4 linked regions of the Caenorhabditis elegans genome follow. The protein of the gene in region 1 interacts with the protein of each later gene in a pairwise test. Each region holds a gene or a part of one and is shown in the gene's direction. Other genes may lie near its edges. The genes, in order: aldo-2, nhr-35, C40A11.2 and trak-1.

The links.
Region 2: the proteins of aldo-2 (region 1) and nhr-35 interact in a two-hybrid assay, tested with the Caenorhabditis elegans proteins (one large-scale study listed by BioGRID).
Region 3: the proteins of aldo-2 (region 1) and C40A11.2 interact in a two-hybrid assay, tested with the Caenorhabditis elegans proteins (one large-scale study listed by BioGRID).
Region 4: the proteins of aldo-2 (region 1) and trak-1 interact in a two-hybrid assay, tested with the Caenorhabditis elegans proteins (one large-scale study listed by BioGRID).

Annotation. Positions count from the first base shown.
Region 1 is NC_003281.10:5,874,145-5,878,053, reverse strand, and holds aldo-2 (Fructose-bisphosphate aldolase 2), read left to right. Parts: upstream 1-1,583; 5' UTR 1,584-1,732; coding exon 1,733-1,774; intron 1,775-1,833; coding exon 1,834-1,915; intron 1,916-2,252; coding exon 2,253-3,004; intron 3,005-3,055; coding exon 3,056-3,280; 3' UTR 3,281-3,376; downstream 3,377-3,909. Other genes in the region: mig-21 (Abnormal cell migration protein 21), read left to right, coding at 16-260, 305-423, 480-578, 721-1,034; F01F1.3 (MIF4G domain-containing protein), read right to left, coding at 3,452-3,610, 3,654-3,800, 3,850-3,909.
Region 2 is NC_003284.9:4,530,723-4,538,071, forward strand, and holds nhr-35 (Nuclear hormone receptor family member nhr-35), read left to right. Parts: upstream 1-1,968; coding exon 1,969-2,179; intron 2,180-2,228; coding exon 2,229-2,387; intron 2,388-2,434; coding exon 2,435-2,534; intron 2,535-3,107; coding exon 3,108-3,306; intron 3,307-3,354; coding exon 3,355-3,483; intron 3,484-3,663; coding exon 3,664-3,806; intron 3,807-3,852; coding exon 3,853-3,977; intron 3,978-4,446; coding exon 4,447-4,598; intron 4,599-4,645; coding exon 4,646-4,766; intron 4,767-4,813; coding exon 4,814-4,928; intron 4,929-6,312; coding exon 6,313-6,390; intron 6,391-6,439; coding exon 6,440-6,536; 3' UTR 6,537-6,824; downstream 6,825-7,349. UniProt on the Caenorhabditis elegans protein: Orphan nuclear receptor.
Region 3 is NC_003280.10:2,145,048-2,149,292, forward strand, and holds C40A11.2 (BTB domain-containing protein), read left to right. Parts: upstream 1-1,902; 5' UTR 1,903-1,915; coding exon 1,916-2,035; intron 2,036-2,252; coding exon 2,253-2,501; intron 2,502-3,265; coding exon 3,266-3,377; intron 3,378-3,456; coding exon 3,457-3,617; 3' UTR 3,618-3,745; downstream 3,746-4,245. Other genes in the region: C40A11.6 (BTB domain-containing protein), read right to left, coding at 11-259, 416-535; C40A11.7 (BTB domain-containing protein), read right to left, coding at 3,759-3,937.
Region 4 is NC_003279.8:6,121,146-6,127,369, forward strand, and holds trak-1 (HAP1 N-terminal domain-containing protein), read left to right. Parts: upstream 1-1,976; 5' UTR 1,977-2,004; coding exon 2,005-2,100; intron 2,101-2,267; coding exon 2,268-2,341; intron 2,342-2,500; coding exon 2,501-2,626; intron 2,627-2,801; coding exon 2,802-2,861; intron 2,862-3,192; coding exon 3,193-3,412; intron 3,413-3,462; coding exon 3,463-3,634; intron 3,635-3,682; coding exon 3,683-3,861; intron 3,862-3,907; coding exon 3,908-4,078; intron 4,079-4,124; coding exon 4,125-4,245; intron 4,246-4,299; coding exon 4,300-4,448; intron 4,449-4,499; coding exon 4,500-4,574; intron 4,575-4,758; coding exon 4,759-4,899; intron 4,900-5,264; coding exon 5,265-5,387; 3' UTR 5,388-5,714; downstream 5,715-6,224.

The DNA of each region.
Region 1 (3,909 bases):
AAAATTTTGATGCAGATTTGGAATTGCATCCGTCCAGGAGGTTGGTCAACGTGGTCAAAATGGTCGAAATGTAGAGAAGGTATCCGAAAAAGAAGACGAACGTGTAATAATCCTTTACCAATTGGTACCACTTGTTCTGGCCAGAAAGTTGAGAAGCAATCTTGTGCAATTTCTTCAAATGTACCGGAGTATCTTTTTGGATCCTGGACATCCTGGAATCCATGGTCTCGATGCGATTGTGATCGTAGCCTGAGGATACGGTAGGTTCAAACAATTGGGAAATGTACAGTAACCCAAGTTTCAGAACTCGGCACTGCAAAGGTAATTCCTGCGAGGGATGTGACAAGGATTACGAAGATTGCCGCCCAGATGAGTGTCCAATTAGTAAAAAATGGTCCGAATGGACAGATTGGGTGAATTATGGTATGGGTCTCATTACGCTGAAATATATCAACAAATTTGTAATGATTTAATTTCAGGAATTGAGCAAGTACGGTTTTCAGCCTGGTGTTCGTCATCAAACGTGGCGAATACTGAAGTGGGAATACGGAAGGAGACTCAAGACTCAATGAAGCATGGTATTAATTTTAGTTAAAAAATTTCGAAGAACCATAACTTGAAGACTAAATTTGAAAGTTTCAAAGTACAATGTCCACTTTACTGTCTAAATTTTTGTGTTAGTTAACAACATGATAAAAAATTAATGAGAATAATTTCCAGCCAACTGGTCTGAATGGCATATGCATCCAGGAGTTGCATACCGTTATCGTCTTCTTCACAACTCTTCTATTTCCATCGAACACCATCTCTTATCAAGATTCACGTCATCATGTCTTCCCTTGCATTTTGCAATTCCAATATTTTGTTTTTGTATTCTCACGGGTTTCCTTCTTCAAAATATTATTTATTGTGTTGTGAATCGTTTTAAAAGGAGATTCATAAGATTGAATTATTCGTATGATTCAAATCCACGTGACTATCCTTCTCATTTGATTCGTTCTCCGGGTTCCCCGAAAGATGAAAGTTTTTGGTGAATTTCGGATGCTTTCGAGAACAGTCTCTGTCTGCCCATTTCTCACGCCACGATAATAAAAGTTATCATTGATCTGTACAACGAATACTCTGAGTGAGGTGTTTTTAATTCTTATCACTTCAACTCTTCAGTTTTAAGACTGAAATTCTAAAGAAAAAACATCAGAATTAATTATACTTTTAAAGAGAGGCGTACTTTCGCAAATGGGTCTCGCAGCGCAAGCCAACGACTAACAACGACAATACCGCACATTTAAATTCAATTTTAGGATTCATTTTTTCATTTCCAAATTTTTCGGTTTTTTCTATAAGAAAACAGCCGAAAACTTAAGAAAATAATTCCTGCACAATTGTGAAAAATTGTTTTTAAAAAATTGTGCACAATTTTATTAATTAAAAAAAAATTTTTGTGTAGTTTTTTTAAGGGATTTATCTACTTTATCTATAGATTAATTTGCCGAATTGACATACTCTTTAAAAATAGGCCTCAAAACTTTCTATCTCGGAATTTTTCGATCATCCTAAAGTAGTACAAGAATATCACGTTTCAGTTCTCTGCGCGCCAACAATATTTGGCGCCGCCCGTTCGCCGTCTCCCGTTTTTGCGCACACTCTCGGCGACTGTACTGATTCTCTACACTCTCCGCCTCCCCATTTTCTCGACCGTCCATTTCATTTCGCATCACTTCTATTTTTCACGATGGCAACTGTCGGAGGCGCTTTCAAGGACTCTCTTACCCAGGTTTGTTGATCATTCATCATTTTGTAATGCCCTTCTTAGTTTAATTGTTGTATTTCTAGGCTCAAAAAGACGAGCTTCACCAAATCGCTCTCAAAATTGTTCAAGATGGAAAGGGAATCCTCGCCGCCGATGAATCCACTGGTGAGCTATTGGAAAAATTCTTCTAGAACTAGAAAATCGAGATTCTTATCTTCTCACAATCATCTTTTGACAATTTTTCTATTCAATAAGAATTAGCGACTTATGTTCAGAAGTTCAAAAAATAAATTTTCACGGTCTAGCGATCATATTCTGTGCCCTCTATCGCCTCCAATTTTCGATGTTTATGTTGTTGAAATTGGAGATGTTGATGCATTGATAGTGCGAGTGATAGATAAAATTGTAGATAGAAAGAAAGATAACATGTAGAAATGATATTGGGGAAGACCGATTTCTTCTTTTTTATAATGCAGCACATCGTGACCCGATCAATTTGCAGGCACAATCGGAAAGCGTCTTGATGCCATCAACCTCGAAAACAACGAGACAAATCGTCAGAAGTATCGTCAACTCCTGTTCACTACTCCAAATCTCAACCAGCACATCTCCGGAGTGATTCTCTACGAGGAGACATTCCATCAAAGCACCGATAAGGGAGAGAAGTTCACCGATCTTCTCATCAAGCAAGGAATCGTCCCAGGAATCAAGCTCGATCTCGGAGTTGTCCCATTGGCTGGAACCATTGGAGAGGGAACCACCCAGGGGCTCGACAAGCTTGCCGAACGTGCCGCTGCTTTCAAGAAGGGAGGATGTGGATTCGCCAAATGGCGTTGTGTTCTCAACATCGGAACTCACACCCCATCTCACCTCGGAATGCTCGAGAACGCCAATGTGCTAGCCAGATACGCTTCTATCTGCCAGGCCAACGGACTTGTTCCAATTGTCGAGCCAGAGGTTCTCTGCGACGGAGAACATGATTTGGCTCGTGCCCAGAAGGTTACTGAGCAAGTTCTTGCCTTTGTGTACAAGGCTCTTGCTGATCATCACGTGTATCTCGAAGGAACTCTTCTCAAGCCAAACATGGTTACTCCAGGACAATCGAGCGCGTCGAAAGCTTCACACGAGGCAATTGGATTGGCTACCGTAACCGCCTTGAGACGCGGAGTTCCAGCTGCAGTTCCAGGAATCACTTTCCTGTCTGGAGGGCAATCCGAACTTGATGCCACTGCTAACCTCAATGCTATTAACTCGGTAAATTTAAACGAAATGGAATAACCTTATATCACTCATTTCTATTTACAGGTTCAACTCGGAAAGCCATGGAAGCTCACCTTCTCTTATGGACGTGCTCTTCAAGCTTCTGTGCTCAAGGCATGGGGCGGAAAAGACGAGAACATCGCTGCCGCTCAGAAGACACTCCTTCACCGTTCCAAGGCCAATGGAGATGCATCTCTCGGAAAGTACGCCGGAGAAGACGCAGCTGGAGCCGCCGCCGAGTCTCTCTTCGTTGCCAAGCATTCCTATTAAGCGATGACGCATAACTTCCTGTGAATAGATTTTTCGCAACCTCGTCCCCAAGATTGTATAATTTCACTGACCCCGAAATGAAGTTTTATTTCACCGAAATTTTATATTTTATGAAACCCGAAAACTAAAAATCACCAAAAGTGGGAATATTAAGGATCTACTTCAATATATTCAAACAATGCTCTCTTTGCTTCCGAACTCTTGCTTGCTGATATCATTCTTCCGAAGTGGTGTCTGATCAACAATCGATAGCTTCCCTTCTGCACTCAAAGTGAGAAGACATTCAGGAATATTCAGCTCACTCCATCCAAATGCCCAAAGATCATACACCTAAAATCAAATAATCAATTGATCATTCTCTGATCTTCCTCACATGAATGAATATTTGACGGACATGTTTAGTGACAATTGGATCTTCACTGATAAGTTTATGACGCAATTTTACAATGATTCGTTCGACGAGATATGAATTCAAATCGTGAAGAACGCGACCATTCTCGCTGAGAAGTATCCCGGCTGTCTGAAATTAAAAAATTCTAGATTTTTCAGAAAAATGTTTCTGTGGAAACCTCTAGATCTTCGGTATCTGGAGCATCATCAATAAGTGCATCCAAAGATGAGAACATTGG
Region 2 (7,349 bases), on another chromosome or scaffold:
ATGAACTTCGATGAAATATGAGAGGTTTTGCTCTCTTTTTTCTAACCTCGTGGTTGGCATTCTTGTTATCTTGAATATTTTTTTCAACTACCGGACAGAAAGTGATTTTTATCTTGACGAAAACGTTTTAATGTGTTCATTTCTTTAAGGTCACAAATTATTTTCCTGATAACTGCGTTTTTTCGCGATTTTTTTCGTTTTAAATCAGAAACACATGAGAAAATTGTGAGAAAGTTTTGCTTAGTGTTAAAAACAAAATTTCTCGCACGGAACTACATAGACCCAAAATCAAACTAGAAACACCCGTCAATCTTTATTATGTCACCAAGTTACCTTAATCCAAGTTGTGTCATTAACGAAATGAAAGTCTTGTTTCATAATGGAAACATATTTCAGTCATGTATATAAAGCGTGAAAATGAATGTTGAAGTACATATTCAATGCATATATTTTAAAGCATTAGCAGCTGGACAAACAGTTTTCAAATATGATTTTGGAAATGGTAGCAAAAACTATGTCTCTCGATAAGTCTCATCGAACCGTTGAAATATAATTTTCACTTATGTTCTTCAATTCTCACTTGTAAACCAGAATGACTGCCATGTAGCTTAATTTCAGGTTTTATTTTGGAATTTGTTGACTTGCCTCTAATAGAGATAGATTCTTTCACAAGAATTGTAATTTATTTTTTTGAGCACTACATTTATTGGAGATTCTTAATGAAAATCGTCAAGTAGCGTCAATGAAATTTTGTAAAAATATAGTGATTATGGTCCGACAAATCCAAATATCAAAAAAAAAGTCTGCACCAATTTTCAGATTTTTCAAAATTTTCTGTCAAATTTTTGGCAGAGTGCCACATTTATGAAAAGTTTAGTTTTTTGTTGAGAAATTTAGAGCAAATTTTTCATATTGAAACACCTGCAATGTTCAGATACAAAAAACGTTGTGGTAAATTGCCAAATTTTGCAAATATTTGGTTTTGTTGAGAAATTAAGAAAAAAAATTCTATATGCCTCAGACCTCATCGTTCTAATTGTTCAAATACAAATATTTGAAACTTAAGTAAAACTTGTAAATTTTAAAGAAAACATGTTTTTGATTGACTTCTAAAATTATGAAAGACAAAACTAATTAATGTTTACTTTTAAACTGTAAAAATTTGTCCGTATTGATTTATACGGTTTTTCAATAATGATAATAAGCCTTTAAGATCTAGGTTTCCCAATAGGTTACTTTCTTGGTTTTACTGAAGAGCATTAATTTCGTATTTGGAAAAAGGGAAAAAACATAATCAGTCATGCCCTATATCCTAAAATTCCTAAGAAATTCAGTAAATAATACTCCAAAAATCTACGATTCGGTAGAGCAAATCGCGCAATGGTCCACACCTGAATCTATTACTGCCCCTACATTGTAGTCCACAACACCTGAGCACTCTTCGAACAATCATAGACTGTGTGGCTGAGCGTTCTCTCTGCAACCTTGTCTTCTTCTCAACATGACATGTGTCTCTTGTCTCTTTTATTCCTGTCACACATCCCGACACACACTCACACACACAGATACACACGCTGTTGCCATCCCCCTATCACATGTCGTTTCTTCATCTTATTCCTCTCGTTTCCCACGCCTGAACTTACAATTGTCCTCCACTGGTGGTAATTGTTTTTCAGATGGTTTCGGGAGGCAATCGGCAAAGCTAATCAGTTGTCTAAAAATTACAGTAATGCTGACAATCACGCCACATTCGGCTATTGATTCGATGGAAAGCACGCTTCCCACTTTTTGATAAGCGTCCGATTGGGATGCATCGTGTGTCTGTCCGCATTTCTGTCCTACATTATAAAAATTTTGCACTTCTAACTAGCTTTGAACAGAGTTGTTTCAAATACCGTCCTTTTTTTGCATTTGGCATCAATTGATCAACTATCTCTCTTCGACCATTTGGATCAATAGATTGAGAGAATGGGAAACAAAATACACGCTGGTTTTACCTTCACCCCATCCCACGCCCGCTCTCTCGATTGTTTTGTTTGCCTTCTTGTCCTATTCTCATTTCGCTCCACACCACCTCACGGCCGCCACCCCGCCATTGAACCTACTTTATTGATTTCTCATTATTACAGAGGTCAAATGTTGGGAACATACAACGGTGACAGCAAAGCAGAAACGGATGGTAATTTTTCCACTATCTGTGATGATAGTTTACATTTTCTATTATTCAGGAAAAGACAACTCCATTTGTCATATCTGCAGTGATGTGGCGACTGGAAGACACTACGGAGCAATTGCTTGTAACGGATGCAAGGGATTTTTCAGACGAACCGTTCGACGGAACTATGAATATCATTGTAGATTTGAGTCGAAGTGTGAAATTGACAAGCGTACGTACCCTTTATTTATCCAAATTAGTCTAATTTTTTTATTCCAGATAACCGCGCAGTGTGTCGTTACTGTCGCTTTATGAAATGTATTTCATCCGGAATGCGCGACGATCAAGTTCAAAGTGAAAGGGATGTAATTGGTAAAAGGTGAGTATACAAAGTTGAAAATTTAAAACTTTTAAAAATTCGTATATGAGACATAAATAGAATAGTAACTTTTTGATGGTTGATCTTACATTTTCAAAATATCTTTTCACCCGTGTAACACTATTGAAGCGTAGAAACGATGATTATTAGAACTAACTAATGACCAAAACTTTTCGAATACTTATTCAGGGGAAACTCAGATATTTTCAAGTCAAGCGAAACGATGAAGCTAAAATTATCACGTTATGATCTTTTGTTCTTAATGATGGAAAAGTATTATTAGTGAAGATTTAGACTAAATACGTCATGGTAATCAACCATGACTAAATGTCATACTCAAAATTAGTTTTTAAACAAATTTTAGTCGTTGCTGTAGATTTGAGACCAAGAATTGTTGAACATAAACATTGGAAAAGCAGTTAAAAATAATATTCGTAGAAAAAACCTTTTTTGGTCAACATCCAAAGTTATGATTTCAGTTTTTACCACTTTTTGACTGTAAATTTGAAAAATTAAACATTTTTGCACTACAGGATTTTTTAAAACCATTGATCAATCATGGAAATTTTGCAGAGAAAAAAAAGACAACATGAAAACCTATTGTCAAGACCCGACTCCGAGAACCTCACCCGAACTAACAATGTCCCCAGTGGAAGATGAGTACGATCAACTATTGGAAAGCCTCTTGAAGTCGGAGATGACGATTCAAAGTCTTCGTGATACAGTGATCACGCAGACCGGAAATGTGGAATACACCACCAAATCTAAGAATGTTTGTTTTAGACCAAAAAGCTGTTCTTCTGGAGGTTTCAAATTTCAGAGATTGTCCCACACAGACCGAACAGCAACTTTGAACGACGTCCTTAAATCCATGCACAGTCAACTTTTGCTGGTCATAGAATGGGCGAAAACACTGCCGGAATTTAAACAACTTTCCGGTGCTGATCAGGTAAGAGCCATTGAACAAAACTGGTCGGTTAGAGGAATTCCAATAAGATGTAAATTGATAACGGAGTTCTTTCGTCCTTTTTTTGTTGATTACAAAGCAAGCACAACTGTACAATTGTGTGCTAATCAGTTTTAACAAACCGCTAAAGAAAATGAAAAAAAAAACTTCCCAAGCTTTCAGGCCGTTCTTCTCAAAAACTTTGCTGGTCAGCACGTGACTCTTTGTGTGGCTTATCGCTCTGTTGGTGCAAATGACGCTTTGAAACTTCTCAACGATCTCTACATTCCAAGGGCTTCAAAAACCACACCACATCTGAAAGAATAGTAAGAGGATGCTAGAATATACAATGTTTTTAATGTTGCTTTTTAGTGTGGATGGATTCTATTTACGTGACTGTGAAAAAGTGATGGACCAGTTGGTGGAACCAATGCGATTTTTGAAGCTCGACAACAAGGAATTTGTGGCTCTCAAAGCTTGCGTTCTTTTCAATCCCGGTAAATATTTTGTGAGGGAAATATTGAGGCTTTTTAAAACAAAATTAGCTTAAAAATATTAAATGATAATATACATTGCAAAATTATTAGGAAAAACAATTTATTTTCTTAAAAAAATACAAAAAAATGGAGTACGGGCAGGTGGGGATTTCAATACGGTTCAAATGGTGCTAAAGGAACCAAACATCATAATAAAATTCTTTAAAAATGTTGTTCTGATTATGTTTAAATAGTTCATATTTCAACATTGTCGGGGCTCGAACATGTGACAATGCTTTAGTTTCCCAAAAATTTGGCTTTCACCACTTTTTGATTAGAAACAAATCCATAAATTTTTCGAAAAAATTTATCACGATCAAAATCATTTTTCCATTGGCAGTAGTCTACCTTTAGTTGTTCTAATGCATGTCAGCTATTATCTTAAGCTCATATTAGAATAGCTTTCAAAACACTAATATATTAATTTCAGTGGCACCGGGTCTATCCAACCATGCTGTTAATTTGGTCCTTAACGCAAGAAGGAAAATTTTCGCCGCATTCGAAAAATATGTAAGAGTGAACAAACCGCTGGAAACCACACGAGTCGGAGATTTGACATTTTTCATTCTCACACCGCTTTCGGTAAAGCTTTTCTTTAGCATCTATTCGTACGATTTTGAATACATCAGGTTCTTTCAAAATCAATTTCGGAAGATATCATGTTCACAAAAGTCAGCGGTGTTGCGAGAATTGATGTTTTGATGGAAGAACTGATATTGGCTGAAACTGATTACGGGGAAGATAGACAAGGTATGTAATTAGTTAATAAAATTTATTCCTAAAATAATATTTTCAAGATCAAACTCCATGCTCAATTATGAACGACACACCGTCGGGAAGCCAAGATATGTGTTCACCGTGCCCGGAGGATCTTCTGCGAACCTCCACTTCAAGCAACTCTCCCACAAACTCGTGAGTCATTTGTTTTCCTCTATCAAAGATCGTTTCAAATGATCAAGTCCAGCATTTATTCCATCTTTATTTGCGGAAATTCCTCCTTCGCGGAGTTGTTTCAACAGAGTCTAGGGCGTACGAGTTTTAATGAGCAAACACCAAAGGTGTGAACTGTGTGATCCTGCCCTCAGTCCATTGACGTTCATTTTGCAACTTATTGACGTAGACTTGGATATCGCCAGACGTAAAGCGATGAACTAGGTACATAATGTCAAATCTAATCTTTAACGGCCAAATTTTAAGAATGAGTCATTGATTTATCTCTATTTGTGTTGGCTTGATCACACAAGATGTGAGCATCGAAATGTCCTAGTTAAAAGGTGACATTCAACTGTAGACTTCAAATTATCAACATTATCAAAATTTGCTCCGAGAAGATGTGCGCGCAAGTCCAGCATAGTGTTGACCATTGAGTTTATGACTTCAGTATGTAGAGAGGTACAGTATGAAATTGACTCAGTAAACAACACATTTGTTTTATTGTTCACGAATTTTGCTGGAAAAAACATCAAGTTTAACTTGAAAACCGTCTGACAATTTACATTTTGTTACTCAAGAAGCAGCTTGAGCTACGGAGCATATGCATTTTTCAGCTCATATAAATTGTAGTCAAACAATACGCACAAAACCTTGAACACATTAGAATAAAACACACAATGTAAATGTTCCTGTTATTTTTTAAAGTGATGCACATTCTGTGGCTGCCCATAGAACTTGCGTAGTCATGAAAAAAATTACTACACTTTGAAATGCTAAACCTCGGTGCATTTTGTGGATAACTAGTTAAATAACAAGTTATATAACGATAACGACAACTGAAATATGAGCTGCCAAAGTTGAACAATGTGTTGCAATACTGATAGAGGAAATAAGGGCAAACATAAACCCAGGGTTTAACTGTTTAGTAAAAAGCCACCGGTTTTATTGATTAATTCAAAATCAAACAATTAAGCTCATTTTCGCAAAGCTGTTCCCAATTTTCAATGTTCCCTCTTTCTGTGTTTTGCAAATTATGAAAGCTCCGAAATTTCAAGAATCACATAGCATTTCCTTTTAATTACCCTATTGGGATATCTCACGCGTTCCCTTTTCTTGCAAAACCATAAATTCAACACACTTGAATATTAACTTTTTTGTGATCCCTTGCGGTTAATAATGCCACCGTGGTGAAGGCACTTGAAAAATTTATTCCACTTTTTCCACGTCTTCCGGGATTTGCAAAACCCCGTGAGTTGGCGGTGAATATTTTCAAGACCACCACTAAATCAAACTAGCAGAACGATCGAACATTAATGTGAAGAAAATTTTGCAGTTTCAAATTCAATTGTCACTTTTTTTGCAGATCTCTCACTGCCGGCCTCTTGCTCAAAACAGACGATGCTATGATGTCAGGAATCGGAACACAATACACAACTCCACAGTAAGAAGTTTTTATTATAAGTTTTAATTCTAAAAATGTTACATTTCAGACCTCACACACCACAATTTGCCGACTCCTCTCACCTAAACCTGCCGTATGCTCCGTTCACTTCTAGCTACAACCAATATCCAAACACTTACTCATAGTAGTCGATTCTCAAAAAAAACTTTTTAATCCAAGTGTCTATTCTATCTATCCGTTTCATGTTCTCAAACTGTGATATTTGACAATGCCCGAAAATTCACCAGAAAAAAGTTATTTGAACTCCCAGAAAATGCCATTGAAACACAATTTGACGGGTTAGAGCAAACTCATTTGTTAAGAATATATTTTGTTTCCCACCCCCTAATAAATATAATTTTTATAATTTTCTCACAGTTTTCAATGATCTGTTATAAAACACAATCTTTTCATAAAATCTTTGAATCTGAAATCTGAATAGTTTTTCATCGTTCCACACACCCCAAAATCCAAACAGGATTTTAATTTACGACATCCCCTCTTCTCGGTGCTCGTCTTGTTCGAGGGCGTGAAGCGCGTTATTACATTTTGTTTGGCATTTGGCAGTGCACCCCTAAAAATGGACGGAGATGGCAAGAGGGAAGTGATGTTTCAGTGAAGTCATGCTGAAAATTGAGGTCCATTTTGATGCACACTGCAGCCAGGTGCGTGGGTTCTTTGAAAAAATTCGCAGATGCTTTCTAAATGGAGTTGAAACAAAGTTTGAGAATTTACAAGTTGTTCGAAAATATATTATTCACTGAGCCATTCGATCGAAATTTTGCCAATCCTCTCCCTAGTCTGTAAAAATTACCATCCGGAGAACAAAAATCAGTTCATCTCTTAGCCAGTCATGTGCACCATATTAATGAGAACCACGTCAGGGTATTGCTATTACAATTGGACTTTGATGGAAAATGTTCCGGACGTGACACATGAATATGTGGACTACTACTTTT
Region 3 (4,245 bases), on another chromosome or scaffold:
AAACACGTACCTTATTGGTGCTGGCGATGATTTGCAGCAATTCATGAGACGAGCCATAAGTTCTGATTTTGTTTTTTATAGGTTCACACAAGTCTACCAAATGCTCCAACAAGTAGAATTCGGCTTCTTTTTTCAGTTCTTGTAGTTCTTTTTCAGAGTCTGGAAGTACTGTAACACCGGATCTCATGTAGTTTAGCACAGTTTCAAAGTACTTTGGAGAGCGATCAATGAAATAACAATCGGAAGTGTCCTTTTTAACCTGAATTTGAAAAATTAAACGCAAATGTATTGGGAACGATCACAAATGCTCACGTTCGATCCTGTCCTGTTATTTTCTGTTTTACAGGTTTTTCTACTGTATCCCTGATTTTCGTCTTGTTTCGTTGTCGTTGATTTAAAAAAAATTTAAACTAACCGGAACATTAGTCTCAATTAATGTTTTGAAGAATCCATCCTGCTTGGTCAGTGTCGATTTCCACGTCTCGAATACAGATCCGCCGACATTCAACTTGACAATTGTTTCAGAAAAGCACATATTGAGTAACGTGTATTCACAGAGAATAAATTGATGAACAAATGAGTCGAGTGGTCTCGCTTTACATCGATTTTGTGGCCATCTGCTAACCCATTGCTCTCAGCACCACGGGGAGGCTGACCCCAGGGCTCCCACCACGATTGGTATTTGCACAAGCACCGTAATCTTTACATTTTTGAATTACAAGCCACATTTTGAAGCATTCTGGAGATTCAATGAATTTTTTGACAGCGAATAATGAAATGGAAAATTGATCCTTAATTTGGAAATTGTTATTTTCTTTACTTCAATAAAAGTTTAACGTACTCATTTGTCTGATGGATGTCTTAACCTGTCTGCGTCTCAATGGAAGAAAATGGTCCGGGTTTGGGTTCATCTGACCGTTAGTGTGTAAGAGACCCCCTCTGAGCTCATCGATTTTTCCTGACCATCTGCTCACAGTAAGTACGGCGGGAGAGCAACGTTTGGCTAATCTGGTATTGGTGAAAATGTTCTCTAATTTACCTGAACTCTCTCCATTTTCCTATGACATAATAAGTTTTCCTGTAATTTTCTAAAAAATTATCCCAAATTTTCTGGAATTTTTTAAAATTATCTGTTTTTTTTTTTGAAAATTTTGGCAGTTTCTGAACTAGATAATTTGTGATTGCTACTTAAGTCCCTTTGGTTCCAAAATGGCCAAATATCATAAGAAAACGTTTCAAAAAATTTTTGAAAATTTTTTATTTACTGCCAAAAAGTGGCAATTACTCGGTTTTTGCCACTCATAATTTTGGAAATCCACCAAAAAAACAATTTTTTTCTACATTTTTTATGTTTTAATTTTGTTTAAATTATTTGTATCAAAACATTGTAGGGGTCGAAAAATGCGACATTTCTTTAAATTTCCTCAACAGCTCATATTTTTCAAAATTTTGGCAATATTCCAAAACGTTGACCGGAATGGAACTTTCTGAAGGTTTCTAAGCTTTTTAAAAATGTTACAAAATTATCTGAAACTCCCTGATTTTTTTTTTGAAATGTCTCAAATCTTTTAGAACATTCTTAACTTTGTTGAAACATTCTAAATTCTCTAAGAAATGTCTAAAATTTTTCAGAAAACTTCTAGAGTTTTTTGAATCTTTCAGAAGTTTTCCGAAAAGTTTTGATTTTTTTTTTAATTTCTGCAAATTTATAAAATTCCCAGAAAATTGCTAGACTTTCGAAAAAAAATGTTTGAAGTCTTCTGAGTTTTTTTTCGAAATGTTCTGAAACTGTCTGAAAAATTTTTTTTTTTTCTGGAACTTTCCCAACTTTCTCAGATTTTCTGCAACTTTCTACAGCTTCCTACAATTTTCTGCAATTTTCCTCAAATTTCGCTCATTTTCAGCGATTTCCAAAATGGATTCCATAGTTGAGCCCATTAAACTAGATATCGGTGGTACGGTATTCGAGACGTGTAAACTGAAGCTCACTAAATTTGATGGTTTCTTCAAAACTATGCTCACAAGTGATATTCCGGTAACTTTCAATTTTATTTTTTATTTAATTTTCCAACTTTTAAAATTTTCCTAATTTTTCTGAGAGATTCTGGAACTTTCTGGAACTTTCTGGAACTTTCTAGAATGTTCTGAAACATTCTGGAACGTTTTGTAAGTTTCTACAACTTTCGAAATCTTTCTCAAAGCTTCTGGAATTTTCTAGAACTTCCTGCAACTTCAGAGATGTTCCATTCTAGGTCTCAATCGACGAATCCGGGTGCATTTTTGTGGATCGGTCCCCGAAAAATTTCAGCCTGATTCTAAAATATCTGAAAGAAGGTGATGACGTGGAACTTCCAAAGTTTGAACGAGAACTGCAAGAAGTGAGAAGAGAAGCCGAATTTTACCTTTTAGACGGTCTAGTCGACCTATGTGATTCTTTTCTTAAAATTCGGTCATATGAAACTTCGGAGGAGCTTCTTCATATTATTGCAAACTGCAAAAAGGTATAGATGACGTCATTGAGTGGGCAGGGCTTTAGAGGCCACGCCCCTTTTGTAAGCTGGGCCTCCGTAGTTCATGTGACGAAATTAACTTTGGAAAATTTTTTTGTAATTTTCTGAAATTTTTCAGCAATTTCAATAACTTTTATAAATTTTTCTAAAATGGTCTAGAACTTTCTAGAACTTTCCGGAACTTTCTAAATGTTTAAAAAATTTTATAGAATTTTCAGAAAAAATTTCAGAAATGTTCTGGGGCTCATTGAAACTTTCTGACAGTTTTCAGCTGATTTTGTAATTTTTATGAAATGTTCTGGCACTTTCTGAAACTTTCTGAATGTTCATAACTTATTATAGAATTTTCTTTAAAAAATTTTTTAAAATTATTTTTAGGCACGCCCATTTGTGGGCGGAGCTTAATAAGCCACACCCAATTGTTCTCTTCTAGACTTTAAAATGTTTAGCACGAAATTCAAAAATCAAGTTCCTTGAAATATTTTGGAGCACATAAGAGGCGTGGTTTAACAAGCTCCGCCCACTAAAGAGGCGGGACGGGATTGGCTCCGCCCACTAAATGGGCGGGCGGGGTGAGCTCCGCCCACTGAGTGGGCGGGGGTTATAAGATAACGTCAAAATTTGTTCGCAGTTTTGATTCCCAACAAAATTTTTGACCAAGAAAGGGGCAGGGCTTGATAAGCTCCTCCCACAAAATGATCATAGCCGAAAATTTTGGCGCTTCATTCAAATTTTCGAAATATTTTTTTTTTCAGACAGCAATTCTTGTGATCAGCTATACAGTTCACAATGATCACCTCTGGAACTCTCCAGAATCCTTCAATTTTCAATATGTTCTCGAAAATCCAAAGTTGGATGTCTATTTCAGTGAGTTTTTGACCTGATTGGTCGAAAAGTGGGCGTGGCCGGGCGCTGATTGGTCGAATAATTTACAAGTGATTTTCAGAACAATGTGAATGCGAAGATGAATCTGATAAATCTCGGCGTGAAGATGGAGTCAATAAAGGTCACCAATCATGGATTTATCGGCTGTACTCTCCGATTAAAGGATTTAAAACATTTACAAATTTTGATAAATTGGAGAAATATATTAATGGGAGGCTGTGAAAATCGGGAATTTATGAATAAAATGTTGATCACTTCTAGACGCCGCCGTACCTTTTTGAGAAGTTTTCGAGAATTTTCATTATAAAACAAATGTAAAAAATTTGATAAATGCATTTGAAATATTAAATAATATGTGGGTATTCATTCTCCGTTCAAAATACTATCGATTTTCTTCTGTAGATCATCCATAGCTGTTAAATCAACGCAACCTGAATGCGTACTGTTGTAGATGCGATAACTCCAAACTGGTTCAGGGTAATATTTCATTCCGCGATGTCTCCTTAAATCTTTTGGCAGAGGTTCTCGATTATCCATTGGTTCTGCAAAATAATTTTAAGTAATTTGTTACAAATACGCTAAATAAATTAATCAGACATGTTTCAACAAATTGCGATGAAAAAACATTTTTAGGTCAATTTTTTTCCAAAAATTTTTTAATCTAATTTTTATAAAATTTTAAAAAATAAGTCAATTGTGTCATTTTCTATATTAAAATCAAAAATAAAAATTACGGTTGTCACTGTGAATTTCTAAAAATTGAAGTAAACTTTGCGTTTTTCAGTTGAAAACAGTAGTTTTATTTATGCAAACTGTTATATCTCTAAGAAAACATATGGCACTTTTTAAA
Region 4 (6,224 bases), on another chromosome or scaffold:
GACTTTAAAACGAGACATGTCTTATTATACTAGAACTCTTTTTTAGTTTATGTAGGTTATCACAGGAAACTGCGAAACCCAACACCTACCTCCAGAATTTTTAATCTCAAAATTTTTCAGTGAATGTTGTTTTTAGGAGCCAGAAATGTTTTTTATAACACTTTTTGGGAATTGATATTTTCTCGGAAAAAAAATCAGAATTGTTTGGACTGTGTTGTGTGAAAAATGTTCTATCAGTTTTATTCAAAAAAGATTTCAAAAATTTTGCACTTCTCTGAGCAACATTTCAGTTATGAAGAGTCTGCAAAAATCCATTGTCGGGGTAATTCTGTGGTGATTAAAATAAGTAAAGTTCAATTAAAAATTTAAGGGATAGGTATTTTGTCGTTTAAATTTCTCTGATAATCCACTCTAAAAATACGATTCCAAATATGACCATCTTACTTTGAAGTCTTGTGGATAAACCTACATCCATTTGTTGCAAAACCGAAAAACGAAATGTTACGTGTAGTTTTTTGTTAACCTTGAGCATTAGTTTTCACACCCATGTGTTCCGTTTTTCAAAGCCCGCCTTTTTGAAAACCCTAAAATACATAAAAGATACCGCAAATAAGTGACTACCAACAATACATGTTTACCCATACTACCCCCATGTCTTCCAATTTCCTGTCGCTACACATTGTTTAACCATTCGCACGTCTTACCGTTTCATGGTGAGAAGTTGTTGTAGTTTATTACGATTTTGGAGCGTGTCCCATCATGGTTGACTCCCAGGAAGAAGAGTGACGTCACCAGGCGGCCACATCCATCCTTTGACAGAGGGTGAGGCTAGAAGGACAACCTTTAACATTACGATTTTCGCACCTGACCTTCTCATGCTCCTTTTCGCAAGCTGTCATATGGCTTGAGGATTTGTTTAGCTAAACTTGAGCACCTCCCTTCCTCAACCACGACAAACCGACACCTATCCCCCTCTTTTGATTTGAATATAATATATTCGTGTGCGTTTGTTTGTGTGCTTAGGAATATGTATAGGAAAGCCGCTAAATTTCTAAGTTTCGAGCATCAAATCAAAGAATTTATCTGAAACGATAACCAGAAATTCCCGTAGCCCGAACAGAACGTTTCCGCATCATTCACCCACTCCTGCTTCTTAGTCACAATGTCTGTCTCATCTTCCCATTTTCATTCAAAAGCTATTCGGATTTATAAGGATTAGTAAAGAAAGCTATGCTGACGAGGTGTTTTCTTCTTTTTTCATTTTTGTTGTATTTTTTATCGTGAAAATACAAAAATATGAAAAACCCTGAATTTTCGACAAAGTAAGTTGCACCACTTTGGCAGTGAACATGTTTTGTTATATCAAAAAATTTTACCTGAAAATTAGAAAAAAACCGTTGTACCATATATAGGGTTGTAGTTAATTATTTTTGATCTACACAAAATGAGCCAAGATAAATACGGTATTAATTTGAAAATGCAATCTTCTCATTTTATGATAGTGGCAAAGTTCTCTATTTTCTCGGATATTCTCGGTGGGTTGGAAACACTCTGTGCGATATTTGGCATATGTCGAAAATTGCGAAAAGCCGCACAGGCCTGGCTCTGGGAATGAATAGAATTAAACGCATGAAAGTCTTCTTTATATACCGTTGTTTTTCTTCCAAACGACTATTAAAATTATAATCAAACACATGTTCGTTTCCTCTCTCTTTTCCTCGATACCTTTTCACTTAACGGTACTAAAAGTACAAACATACATTCTTTCTCTCACAGTCAAACAGTTTGAAAAAGAAACAATGAGTATACCTTTCCTTTCCTCCCATTTTTTCTCTAATTCTCTTTCACTAGTGCCGCCCGTCCGCTTTTATCGTTTTTTCTTGAGGTTCTCCCCCTTGATTTTTCGTTTTCCATAGATCAAATTTGATAACCATTTTATCTTGAATCCTTTCAGTCTAATAGTTTTTATTTTCCAGATTTTCGAATGTTTGGGCTGTCAGCCGAATGAGCCCAACTCCAACTCGAAACTCCTCTCCACTTGATCCGTCGTGTGCTCTCAACGAGCTCGACTGCAATGGTCTCATGGTTATTTTAGAAAAGGTATGCCTTAACTTGTTCTTATTTCAAACTTATTTTAGTAATCGAAAAAATCGAATGGTAAAAATTGTAGAGTAAACATTGTGAAACAAAGAAATATAAAATGTTTTCGATTTTATTTTTTAGTATTGAATTCATGATCTTCAACTATTAAAACATGTTTTTTTCAGAAAAATCACGATCTTGAGCTTGCGGCTAAGATTGGCCAATCGTTGTTGGAGCAGAACAAAGATCTTCAGACAAAGTGAGTGTTTTCTAATTAAGCCCACCGAGTTCAAGTATCAATTACACTTGTTTTAATGACGAGTGGAGGGAAGATAGGATTAGTATGCGAATAAAAGTTCTAGAAAATAGGGACTATTTCCTTGTTCTAAAAATAAGCTCTAAAAATCAATGTTTTCAGAAATGAGTTCCTCGAGGAGAGTGTCAACAAGAACCTGGACACAATTGTTCAACTGAAACATGAGCTTAATCAACGAATTGAGCTACTCAGGGTCTACTCACATTTAGATGATGATGGTTTACCAAGGTAAGATTTTTGTTTAAAACTTTTCGACAAGAAAGAGCCGAATCACAGTTGGTCATTGTGTTAATATTCGTTGTGGAATAAACAACTTACTAAATTTATATCAAGCGTGGCGTGGAGATCAAAATCTTGTTCTCTTGCTTCTTCGTTTTTCAAAGTTAAAAAAACTCAATTGCAGGTCAAACAGCGACGAGGCACTCCGAGAACGGCTTAAATCCACAAAATCGGAAAACGAGAGGTTTGTCAAATAATCAAATAAGCCAGCGTAATTGATAGTGGGTGGGCGATCGAGTTCAAAATTGTGCAGTTTTTGGATAAGGGGAACGATTGATAGTCTAAAAAACAAAGATCCTGATAATGCCATCATTATTGCTCTCAGAGCCTCTCAAGCTCCGTTGCCACGAATAACTTTGGGTTTTTGGTGATTGCTCAACTGAAAATCCTATGTTCTTTTTTTTTTCACACTCTCACTTCACGCTCTTGCCGCTTGCAGGCTCACTTATGTTCTGAAGCACATCCATATGCTAGGAACGTGCTCTGACCAAAATTTCACATATTCACAATTTAAGACTTCGCCAAGAATGTGATCTTCTCCGGCAAGAATCCGCTATAGTCACTGCTCAGAAGAATAGTTCATACCTGCTAGAAAAACAGTTGGATTACACAAATGACAAAGTGATCAGCTTGCAAAAGTTGATTGAACAAAAAACAACAGAACTCAATCAACAATATGAGAACACTGGAAAGCTGATGAATGAACTGGCGGATAAGGATAAGAAAGAAAGAATGGTAGGTTCTTAGATGCTTTGCGAGCTGCAAGAAACGATTTTTTATTGCAGATCTCAATGGAAAAAGAAGAAATGGGTGCGATACTCATTGAGATGATCCAAAGACATGACACAATGCAAGCTGAGCACAAAGAGATGCAGGATCAATACGCGGAGCTCATGGCTAATTTTGCGGAAACTGAATCCGAGTTGAATAAGCTCAGAAGTACCGGGAACTTAAGAAGTAAGATTTATACAACATCAACTTGACTGAATTCTTCAAATTTTTCAGTGTCTTATGACTCTCTCTATGACTCCCTTGCGTCTGAAATGGAAAACTCCGAGTTTTCACCAGCGGGTCGCACAACACAATTGACAGTTCTTACGGGGAGAGATAGCTATGCAAATGATAGTGGAATTGATGCAGGTGGTCCAATGAGCTTGGCAGCTGAGATTGAACACTCAGAAAAGGTACAATTTCGACTTACACAACTCGAATAATAATATATTCTTCCAGTATCAAATTCCCTCGATCGCAGAGCCTATCTTTGCTACCTCATCAAAACTGGCGGCTCTCTGTGATGCGAGCACTTCATGCACAGATATCTATCGTGATTCTACTCCAACGATACAGGACGACGATGTCACAACTCCTTCGGTCTCTGGCATTAACGCACATTATGCTGAGGTAAAACTTATTAGGCAAAAAAAATTTTCAAAAAATTTTTTTTTAGACCAACCAACTTAGCTTCCCCAGCGAAGAAGCCGTGTCCACACCGATTGTGGCACGAAAGTATATCCCGTGTAGCAGCCCGAGTAAGAGCAATTTGAGCAAGTTACAACGGTTGCATATAGGTGAGTAAATTTTCTTATTTTGCGTCGATTGACATTAGTCATGTCTATTTTCAGGTAATCGTCCACATGCTCAAAGTTTCGATGTTCCATCTACAACTATTTATGACGCATCGTCTTACGCAGAGTCAAAACTAGGACAACCGGGAATGCCTGGAACTCGTGATCTGGATATCTCCTTGAAAGTAATCAAGGCTAGGGAAGAGGTGATTTGCACTTTAACCGAGCTTTATACTAACTCTAATCGGATATGTTAGTTTCAGGTGCAAAAAGAGTTTGCGGCGTTTTGTCAGCGGAAAGGTATCGATCAGCAACAGTTTTTCGGTTCTCAGGTAGTCTACTTCTTTCCTTTTCTATCAATTATCAAATGAGGGAGGTTTGAAACAAAGTTTTGATTATTGGAAGTCCAAACCTCCCCTCAAGTACATTAACTTTTCGGTAGCTGCCCTGTCATGTTAACAGTTTTTATTAAAATATTGATTGAAGTGCTTATCTAACCAAACTCTCTCATTACAGGACCGTCGTCAATCAAATGAAACATCATGGATGGATTTCAGTGCTGCATACGGAGTCAGAATGATTCAGAGTCTGAAACCAAGACATGCCGAACAGTCATTAGCATTGGGTCTCAGACAAGGAGTGTTGACGAGAGCAGAGGTAAGATATGAATTAAGTTTAAAAATTTGGCATTTATTACTTACAATTAGTAAAGAAAACTTTTGATTAATTCATGCATAAAAAGGAATACTATAGACAAACCAAAGGAACGGAATCACTAGTTTAATTGACAGTTAGAAATTAACTAACACTGACATTTTGCCAATTGTTTGGCACTTGGTATTAGTCGAATTTTCCAAAAGCCGCACATCTCTATTACAGACATTCATTTAAAATTGGAAATATTTCTTTACTAGGTTTATTTTGGACTATATTTTTGACCTCTAGAATTATGTTCTTTCTATCCAACCAAAATACTTGCCCGCCCCTCTTAGTAACATTTTTTAAACAATTGTAAATTCCAGCTTCTCACGTCTCCATCAACATCACCTCAACATCGAAGTTTATCACTCTCATTATCACCTGGAACATCTGACGGTGGTCTCACGAAAATTGGTGCAATCCACGGTGTTTTATCAAGAAGATAAAGGAAAATGGCTTTTACTTTAACAAATGTTTCCTCTCAATTTCTGAATACATGTACATTTTTTAAAATGATTCGATTTGTTCTACCCCCACTCCACCTAATTTTTGAATTGAAATTTCACTAATACTTATTTGAAAAATACTTAAGAAATTAGAGCTTTTAACTTGATTTTTTTTGTTTTTATTTGTTTTAAACAGCTAGAAATTTAGTGTCTTGAAATGTGTGTAAACCGGTTTTTGCTTTTAAGCCAAATGTTTGACTTTTTTGGAATTTAAATTGTATTGAAATTATGTATCGTTAATAAATTTCGAATTTCTCAATGAAAAATGGCGAAAGGTGGTAATCAGTTTAAGAAGGAGAATAAGAAAAAAAAACGCTATAATTTCTTAAAATCAGCAAACGCGACGTTTGTCAAAAAAACATTGTGAACCATCAAAATTGCTGGAATTTTTCGAAAACGCCAAAGTTATCAAATTTTGGATAGTTTTTCAGGAAACATCTGTCACTTTTTTCATACATTATGAGATATTTTCAAATCCCAGACTATTTGCATGCGGTATTAACAATTAAAACCAAACCTTGCCAAACCAAAACATTTTGGCAACCGCTGGAGCGCAGTTGAATAAAATTTGAAGATATACAGTCTGCCCATATGAAAAAATATATTCACCAGCTTTCACTGACATTTTTGAGGCTTGACTTCAGGAATATATATAAAAGATATATGTAACTTCCTTTTTCAGGTACAACGCCCAAGTTTGAACTTAATGTTTTTTTTGTTGTGGTAAACATACTTTTTCCTAATTTTTTCGGCATAAAGCCATTGTATGTGTCATTT